2 linked regions of the Mus musculus genome follow. The protein of the gene in region 1 binds, or shares a complex with, the protein of each later gene. Each region holds a gene or a part of one and is shown on either strand. Other genes may lie near its edges. A codon is read from its position in the direction of its gene.

Region 1 (4,383 bases):
AATTTGGCTTATACTTCCACATCATAGTCTCTCCCTGAAGGAAGTCAGGACAGGAACTCAAACAGAACCTTCTGCTGGAGGCAGGAGCTGATGTAGAGGCCATGGAACAGTGCTGCTTACTGGCTTGCTCCTCATGACTTGTTCAGCCTGCTTTCTCATAGAACCTCAGACTATCAACCCAAGGGTAGCTGGGCCCTCCCCAACAGTCATTAATTAAGAAAATGTCCTACAGCCTTGCCTACAGGTTCATTCCATGGAGGCATTTTCTCAACTGAGGCTCCCTCCTCTCAGATGACTTCAGCTTGTGTCAAGTTGACATAAAACTAGCCAGCACAAGACAGTAATCTATACTGTGGACAAAGCCAAGGAATGTAAACTGATGGTCTAGGCCCTTCATTGTAGTACAGCTGATGCTGAGTGAAAGATTAAGCCCAAGGTGGGGTATGACCACTGTGCTGGCAACTGCACAGTGTTAGTCAGGGGAATGCAAGGTAGACAGCAGGCTATGCATAAACATTCCAAACGGTATCTCTCTGACACAGTCCCTCTGCTTCCCCATCCCCCATATTTGGATCTCTTTGGAGGGCCCAAGCTAGGAGTCTAGAAAACACTCAAAAGTCCTCCTCCTTTTTCAAATCCCAGGTGCTATTGTTTAAGCAAGTCCTCATTTAGTCACTGGATCTCTCCTTGGTGCGATAGCTCCAGCTTTGAGCCTCTCACTTTCACTTCTGCGGCACGCTTTACAGCTATTTAGCACCTAGCCTTGCTACACTCAAAATTCTACTGCAAAGACTCGGCAAACCTAGAAATGTGGGGTAGAAGGCTGCGCTGCCAAATCAAACTTCTCAAAACAAACCTAGTGGTCTCTATACTCTGCTGGACATCTCTGAATGGCTCCTCATTTAGGATGTTCGTGTTTCTACTTTACTCGACTTTCCTCTTACTCCAAGATCAGTATAAACGTGTAATTATAAACGTATAAAACCCAGAGGAATTCAATAACTCTTTCAGCTGCAGTCACCATCCATCCACCCACATGATTAGTTTCTGTCCACCTAAGGAAATTCTCTCACCCATATTCAGAGGTGAGAGAATTTGTCCTCTTTTCTAGTACATAAGTGTCAGGTACATCATATGCTGTTCCGTCAGGTCAACTTAACAACTCTTCATGAAGAGTTGGCGAAGTGAGGGAGGGAGGACTGAGCTGGGTTCAGGTCAAGCCTTCCACCACGACTTCTGCACCACCACTTCCTACTGGTTTTAAATCAGATGTTAATGAGAACCCGGTCGCTCACTCCCACTCCCGACCGGATCTATACCCCATCGGCAGAACAGAAAGGCAGCACGGGAGCCCGGCCACCACGTGAGCAACCGTTCACGTGAGCACGGAGAGGCGTGGCCCGAGCAAGTCACGTGAACACACGTGATCACGTGAGTGCTGCCGCTGCCGCTGCCGCCCTGCCTTTGCTTCCTGCTCCGTTCCAGGCTGCAAGCTGATGGAGGACGAGGATGGGGAAGATCGGGCGCTGCTTGGGGGCCGCCGCGAGGCGGACAGCGCAGTCCATGGCGCCCCTCGCGCTCTGTCCGCGCTCTGCGACCCCAGCCGCCTGGCGCACCGGCTCGTGGTGCTGTCGCTCATGTGCTTCCTTGGCTTCGGTGAGCGGGGCTCGGCTGGGGCAGATGATAGAGGGATTCCAGGGTTCGCGCTGCTGCCTGGGCTCGGGAGCCCGCTTTTTCCAAGTGTCTGGAGCGAGGTGACGTTTGTTCCTCCAAGCCCCGGTGTTCAGCAGCTCCTCCCTGGGGACGCAGATGAGAAGGAAACTCAGATCTTTCTCCCGGAGAGCTGTGCTCCCGAGAGTTTCAGAACGTTGCTGGGGGAATTTCAGAGCGTGACTAAGTCCCTCTTCCTCCCTCCCCAGGCGACCCCTCCCATTCCCCAGTGCTTTCCTTTGTATTCTTTTAGAGCTCGGATCCGCTTTGGATAGTGTTCACTGCTAAGTACACCTTAGTAGGAGTCTTTTCTTACCTTTCCTCTGTGAGACAGCCTTGCAGGACCACACTTGTTAAGTTGGTTTCACTTATGAAATCTGATCTGGCGCAAAACACTTTCATTAGCTACTTTTAAAGACACCCTTCCCTCCCGTGTTACAGTTTTTAGTTTACATTGAAACTGTTCGGATTCGTAACAACTGGCTTGGCTTGAAAGAGTGTTTCAGGGGGATCAGATTCAGAAATACATGCACCTGGTTTATAAAAGATACTTTGGGCTTCGGTTTCTTTATTTTTGAGAAGATGGTACTCATTTGCTTTAAAACGTATTGAGCTGATAGTGGTGGCGCCCTTTAATCTCAGTACTGGAAGACAGGGACATGTCTGTGCGCTAGAGAGGCCAGCCAGGGCTACAAAGTGAGATCTTGTCTCAACCAACCAACCAACCAACCATGGTATTGAATTTCTTATAAGCAGTTAAATCCTGAAGGAGAAGTTTCTAGGTTTAGAATCAATAACCAGTAAGCATAGACAAAACACTTGAAGAAATTGTCCCTACTCAAGTTGACAGTTTATTTTTGGTAGGTAGATTGGGCTGAAAGTTTGGGTTTGAGAAACTAGAGCCGCCCTGTCGCTAGCTGCCTTCTCCACCTTTGGACCGCTAGCTTTGTGTATTTACAGAGTCAGCGGGGAAACAGGCAGTGTTACCTTGGGGCTTCTTCAAGCCTGTCAGCTTTCCCCGCTCCCAGGAGACATTGCCAGTTTTCATTTGATCCCTTAGACTGGCGCTTGTGTTGTTCTTGTTTCTAGCCCAGTTTTCACTCAGTTATTTGCTCCTGGGTATTTTTGTTTGTTTTTGTTTGTTTGTTTGCAGGATCAGGATCTATATCAAATACTGGTTTGGTTTGAATCTCTGAGTTACCTCTGCTTTCAAGAAAAGTGAGGACCCAGCTAACGTGCACCTGTAGAGGATGCTTGTAGACTTTTTTTAAGTAAGGGAAATGCAGCGATTTCATGAAGATGTTAATACAGTGATAAGCATGGGAAGAAAGACGGAAACGAAATGATTAAAAGCAGTTGATGTTGACCTCTTTATCAGGTTTCTGGTATATGCTGTGTATGCACACCACTACCTTGTGGAAGTTCTTTGGAATGGTAGATCAGGAAGTGGTGTAAAACAAACACACAAGCAAGAAAAAAAAATCTGTTGTCATAGTGTCAGCCATAGTAAACCTTAAACACCTCCGGGGAGTTACTAGTTAGGAGTTGTAACTTGAAACTCTTATATAGATATTATCATTCCGAGTGAAATATGTGTTCTTCCTTTTTCTAGGCAGCTATTTCTGCTATGACAACCCCGCTGCCCTTCAGACTCAGGTGAAACGGGTGAGTTGATTTTCTCCGTTCTTGTACTGCTTTGCTTTGGAGCACTCACTTACAGATGCTCAGATAGAATGAGCTCTCAGGTGCCCCATCTGAGATGTCCACTTTCTCTTCTAGTGTCTGTTATCACCACACCCACAGGCTGCAGAGATCAAATTTGTTTCTCTAAAGAACTCCTGAATAACATATACATGCCTCGAGATGGTTTTCTTCTTTAGGTAGATAATTATGGACTCTGCCCACAGTGTTACGGGAAATGCTAGTGTTGGTTGGAGCTTTGCACTCCTCTGAACCATTGAGTGAGTGGTGGGACAGCTTTGGCCTTCTTAGATAAACTTTGCTGTTATTTACTTTTATAAATGTGCATACTGGTTGCTGAGTATTGGCCCTATCTGCATTCTTAGTCTGGTTTTGAGTTGTAAAACTGTATTTGATATTTGTTGTTTTTTGGGCATTTAGACCATCATTATGTGCATTTTAAAAAGCCATTAGGCAGAGGAAAAATGCATGGGCTGTCCTTTGCATTCTAGGAGGGGTTAAAGAGGATAACATCTGTAAGACTAGGCAAGGACGATTCTTTTCTGTTTGGGAGGAGTCCATAATGGAGGTGGAAATGAAGAAGGAGGAACGTAGGAGACAGAAAAGGGCTGAGTTGGCCCCCATGCCAGTGACAGGTCCTAGAATCCATGAGGCCTGAGACATAGTATGTGGACTTAAGATGTTCCCAGGTATGGCTGTTATTCTAAGGGCAAGGGTCGTAGCTTCCAGAGTCACAAGGAAGTAACAGTTCACACATGGTTAGGAAACATACCCTGTATAGATACACAGCTGTCACTACGTTTTGTTTTGATTCGTTAATTGCAGAATCTGTGTGGAAAAAAAGTTTTCTTTTCTCTCTATCCAGGACATGCAAGTGAACACCACGAAATTCATGCTGCTGTATGCCTGGTATTCTTGGCCCAATGTAGTTTTGTGTTTCTTGGGTGGCTTTTTGATAGACCGCATATTTGG
Region 2 (4,267 bases), about 21 Mb from region 1:
TTAGGAAAAACAGGCTGGTTGTGGTGCTCATGCCTTTAATTCCAGCAGAGGAGGTAGAGGCAGGCAGGTGGATCTTTAATAGTTCAAGGCCGGCCTGGTATGTATAAAGAGTTCCTGGACAGCCAGTCCCTGCCTACTTGGTAATCTAATAAATGAAATGCATTTACCTGCTGAACATCTCATGCCCCAGACCTTGAATTTCTGGTCTTCCTCTTCTCACCTCTTGGCTGGAATTAGGGTGTCTTGGTCCCCTTGTAGAAACAAGCCTCCATTCCTGTTTGGTTCTGTTTTCTGAGACTACCATACCTAAGGATTCTTTTATTATTCTTTTACTTTTTTTGTTTGTGTTTTTGTCTTTGTTTTTTCAAGACAGGGTTTCTCTGTGTAACCCTGGTGTCCTAGCACTCACTTTTCTCAAACTCAGAAATCCGCCTGCCTCTGCCTCCCAAGTGCTGTGATCAAAGGTGTGCGCCACCACCGCCCGGCATTCTTTTACATTTTACTGCACTTGTTTTATGTGAGCAATGCACAGAATGCATGTGTAAATCAGGTTACAGCTTCTGGCAATTATTTTTCTCCTTCTACCGCGTTGGTCCTGAATATATATCCAACTCATGTTCAGTTTAGAGCAAATGCTGAGGCATCTTGCTGACCCCCAAGGGTTCTTTTATATCCAATTCCTCTCTATATCTTTCCTTTTTTGTTTTGAAGATTTTTTTTTATTATTATATCTAAGTACACTGTAGCTGTCTTTAGCTGCACCAGAAGAGGACGTCAGGTCTCATTACGGATGGTTGTGAGCCACCATGTGGTTGGTGGGATTTGAACTCAGGACCTTCGGAAAAGCAGTCAGTGCTCTTAACCACTGAGCCATCTCTCCAGCCCTCTCTATATCTTTCTAGCACAGAGCAGTAACATACAAATTACTCTGTTAAATTGTGTGGAAATTTTAATCTGGGTTTATTCACCAGAGGTGATGTAGGTGGGGCCGGTAGGGTGTCTGCAGTAAGGTAGGAGTATGTTTGCACAGCTAGTCTAGGATGCCTAGGCCAACCTGTTGATGATAAAATACCTGTTCACCTTGAGCTTTCGGGAGGCTATTCCAACTTAAACAGATCTGGGTTAATAGAAGCGGCCCCTTTAAGAACTTTGTTGGCCCGCCCTCAAAAGGGATCAGCAGGAAAGGAGTCATGTGACTCTGAGGCTCTTCCGCTGAGTTTAACTAGCTGTGGCTGTATGTTTCGCTGTTGGGGACCTCACTGGGGCTGGGTCCCCTGTGCCCCTACCCCATGGCTCCTTTTGAGTCTACTTGTGTGTTCAGCTCCATTTGGCCTGCAGGGAGAAGAGACTCGCCAGGTAAGGGCTCTGGAACTGAAGTTATAGATGTTTCCGGAAATCCTACCTTTCTAGGATGACCGGAATCTGGGACAACAGAGGGGTGGAAGGTGGATGCAAGAGAGATAACAACCCAGAGAGCTCAGTGTGGAGTCACGAGTGATTGGAAGAATTGTGGAGGGGTCAGGCATGACTGCGTCCTGCTTTCTGACGATGTCTGAGCCATGGCTCAGCCATTGTAGCCCAGGAACAGGCAAGTTTGGGGACTTAAAAGCCTTGTTAGCTCTGAGCCCTCTGAGTAATCCTGGATCCACCCTATGTTCTCAACCCTACATCTGCCCCTGATTCCAAGTTCCCCTCAGTTTCTACATTTCCCTCTTGCCTGGTCCTCAAGAGCCCTTGCATTGCCCAGGTCCTGTCCTCCACCTACAAGCTGCAGCTTTGCCTGTGAGCATACCTGATCTTGCTCCTTCCGCCCCACTACCCCGTGTTCCAGGTATCTATGGAGGTTATTTCCGGCTGGCCAAATCCACAGAACCTGCTTCATATTCGGGCAGTGGGCAGCAACTCCACCCTGCACTATGTGTGGAGCAGCCTGGGGCCTCCAGCTGTGGTGCTGGTGGCCACTAACACCACTCAGAGTGTCCTGAGTGTCAACTGGAGTCTCCTGCTGTCTCCCGATCCTGCTGGGGCCCTGATGGTGCTCCCCAAGAGCAGCATACAGTTTTCTTCTGCTCTCGTCTTCACCAGGGTGAGGGTCTGAAGGAGCCCAGAGAGAAGATCACAAGAAGAGAGTCCATCCTACCCCCAGGGCGAGGGACGGGTTTAGCCCAGGGTGGGTGAAGTGAATGCAGTTTTGGGTGGGGTGACTGGGAGGGATATTCAAGAGAAAGCCAGAGGGAGGCAAGCCTCTTCCACTCTACCCTGTCCCCAGCTGCTTGAGTTTGACAGCACCAATGCGTCCGAGGGGGCACAGCCTCCAGGAAAGCCATACCCTCCGTACTCCTTGGCCAAGTTCTCCTGGAACAATATCACCAACTCATTGGATCTTGCCAACCTGAGTGCCGATTTTCAAGGCCGCCCTGTAGATGATCCTACTGGAGCATTCGCCAATGGCAGCCTGACCTTCAAGGTGAGGCTATGGGGAAGGAACTGGAAATGACTGATGAGGGTGGGAGTATCTGTCCCTCAAGCTCCATTCTCCCCACATGGCTTCCTTCTCCTTCCAAGGTCCAAGCCTTTTCTAGATCTGGTCGACCTGCTCAGCCCCCTCGCCTCCTGCACACAGCAGATGTCTGCCAGTTAGAAGTGGCCCTGGTTGGAGCTTCTCCTCGTGGAAACCATTCCCTATTTGGTCTAGAGGTAGCCACCTTGGGACAGGGCCCTGACTGCCCCTCAGTGAACGAACGGAACTCCATCGATGATGAATATGCACCTGCCGTCTTCCAGGTCAGGTCACCAGTGCGAGATAGATGGGTGGGAATGTAAAGTGGGATCCCGCTAGCAGCCCAGAAAACCCACCAACCACTTATTGTTAAAAAAGACTGTGTGTTTGGGTTTTTGAAGGATTTCTTTTCATTTTATGTGCATGTATGTCTGTGAAGGTGCCAAATCCCCCGGAACTAGAGCTACAGTCAGTTGTGAGCCACCGTGAGGGTGCTGGGAATTGAACCCAGGTCCTCTGGAAGTACAGCCAGTGCTCTTAACTGCTAAGCCATCTCTCCAGCCCCAGAAGACTTGTTTTTTATGTGTGTGTATTTGGGTGCATGTGCATACAGGTTCCTATGGAGGCAAGAAGAGGGTATCAGGTACCCTGGAGCTGGAATTACAAATAGCTGTAAGCCTCCTGGTATGGGTGCTGGGAACTGAATTTGGATTTTCTACAAGAGCAGCAAGTTCTCAGCACTGAGCCATCCCTAAAGCCACCACAACACCCATTTTTAAAAGGGTTTTCTGTTTGTTTGTTGAGACAAGGTCTCCCTAAGTATCCCTGGCTGGCTGACCTAGAACTCTTGCTATGGAGACCAGGCTGTCCTTGAACTCAGAAAGGTTCATCAGCCTCCTGAGAGGTGGGATTAAATGCACGCACTGCCACATCTGGTCCGGGTTTCTTTTTTCTTTCTTTTTTTTTTTTCTTTTTTTTTTCTGGTTTTTCGAGACAGGGTTTCTCTGTATAGCCCTGACTGTCCTGGAACTCACTCTATAGACGAGGCTGGCCTCAAACTCAGAAATCCGCCTGCCTCTGCCTACCGAGTGCTGGGATTAAAGGCGTGCGCCATCACGCCTGGCTATGGTCCGGATTTCTTATTTAACAACACTTTTCTCTGGCTCCTTTTAGTATGGGGTTGCACTAGTCTATTGCCTGCCATCTGTGCCCTCCAAGGAAGCAGACAAAACCAGTGCTTCCAAGATCTTCAGCTGGGATGCTCCTTAACCCGGGGCCCAGAGGGAGCGAGCGCTGAACGGCTGCAGCTCCGTTCATGTCAGTTTCTCTCTGTAGAGGAGAGACTGGACCTCCTACATCTAGCATGTCATTTCTACAACTACACTTAGTACTGAGGACTCTTGGTGACTTAGTGCCTGTACTGCTGATATGCCTTCTGGGAGAGCTGGGGAAGCAGAGGTGTTGGTACAGGTTGGTCCTCCTCACCCTGCCTCCTTTGCTTGTCTCTCCAGCTGAACCAGCTGTTATGGGGCTCTTCTCCATCTGGCTTCATGCAATGGCGACCAGTGGCTTTCTCTGAGGAGGAGCGGGCCCGAGAATCAGCCCTCCCCTGCCAGGCTTCCACTCTTCACTCCACCTTGGCATCTTCTCTCCCTCATTCACCAATTGTTCAAGCCTTCTTCGGGTCCCAGAACAACTTCTGTGCCTTCAATCTGACCTTTGGGGCTCCCACGGGCCCTGGCTACTGGGACCAATACTACCTTTGCT

Evidence for each region.
Region 2: the proteins of Mfsd1 (region 1) and Glmp are in contact, whole or in part, in a cryo-EM structure (PDB 8R8Q), measured with the Mus musculus proteins. Residues at the interface, in NP_080089.1 of Mus musculus: Val288, Glu292, Lys293, Arg295, Phe349, Phe351, Leu411, Asp412, Lys414, Gly415, Tyr416, Leu417, Leu418, Val421, Ile424, Ser428, Leu432, Val435, Leu439; in NP_064387.1 of Mus musculus: Glu250 (codon at 2,740), Asn252 (codon at 2,746), Ser253 (codon at 2,749), Ile254 (codon at 2,752), Asp255 (codon at 2,755), Asp256 (codon at 2,758), Glu257 (codon at 2,761), Pro260 (codon at 2,770), Ala261 (codon at 2,773), Phe263 (codon at 2,779), Gln264 (codon at 2,782), Arg292, Phe364, Leu367, Val368, Ile371, Met372, Ala375, Ala378, Leu381, Met382, Gly385, Phe389.

Annotation. Positions count from the first base shown.
Region 1 is NC_000069.6:67,581,322-67,585,704, forward strand, and holds the start of Mfsd1 (major facilitator superfamily domain-containing protein 1), read left to right. Parts: upstream 1-1,446; 5' UTR 1,447-1,496; coding exon 1,497-1,656; intron 1,657-3,322; coding exon 3,323-3,375; intron 3,376-4,276; coding exon 4,277-4,383. UniProt on the Homo sapiens protein: Lysosomal dipeptide uniporter that selectively exports lysine, arginine or histidine-containing dipeptides with a net positive charge from the lysosome lumen into the cytosol.
Region 2 is NC_000069.6:88,323,846-88,328,112, forward strand, and holds the start of Glmp (glycosylated lysosomal membrane protein precursor), read left to right. Parts: upstream 1-1,177; 5' UTR 1,178-1,236; coding exon 1,237-1,356; intron 1,357-1,831; coding exon 1,832-2,086; intron 2,087-2,269; coding exon 2,270-2,467; intron 2,468-2,565; coding exon 2,566-2,784; intron 2,785-4,011; coding exon 4,012-4,267. UniProt on the Homo sapiens protein: Required to protect lysosomal transporter MFSD1 from lysosomal proteolysis and for MFSD1 lysosomal localization.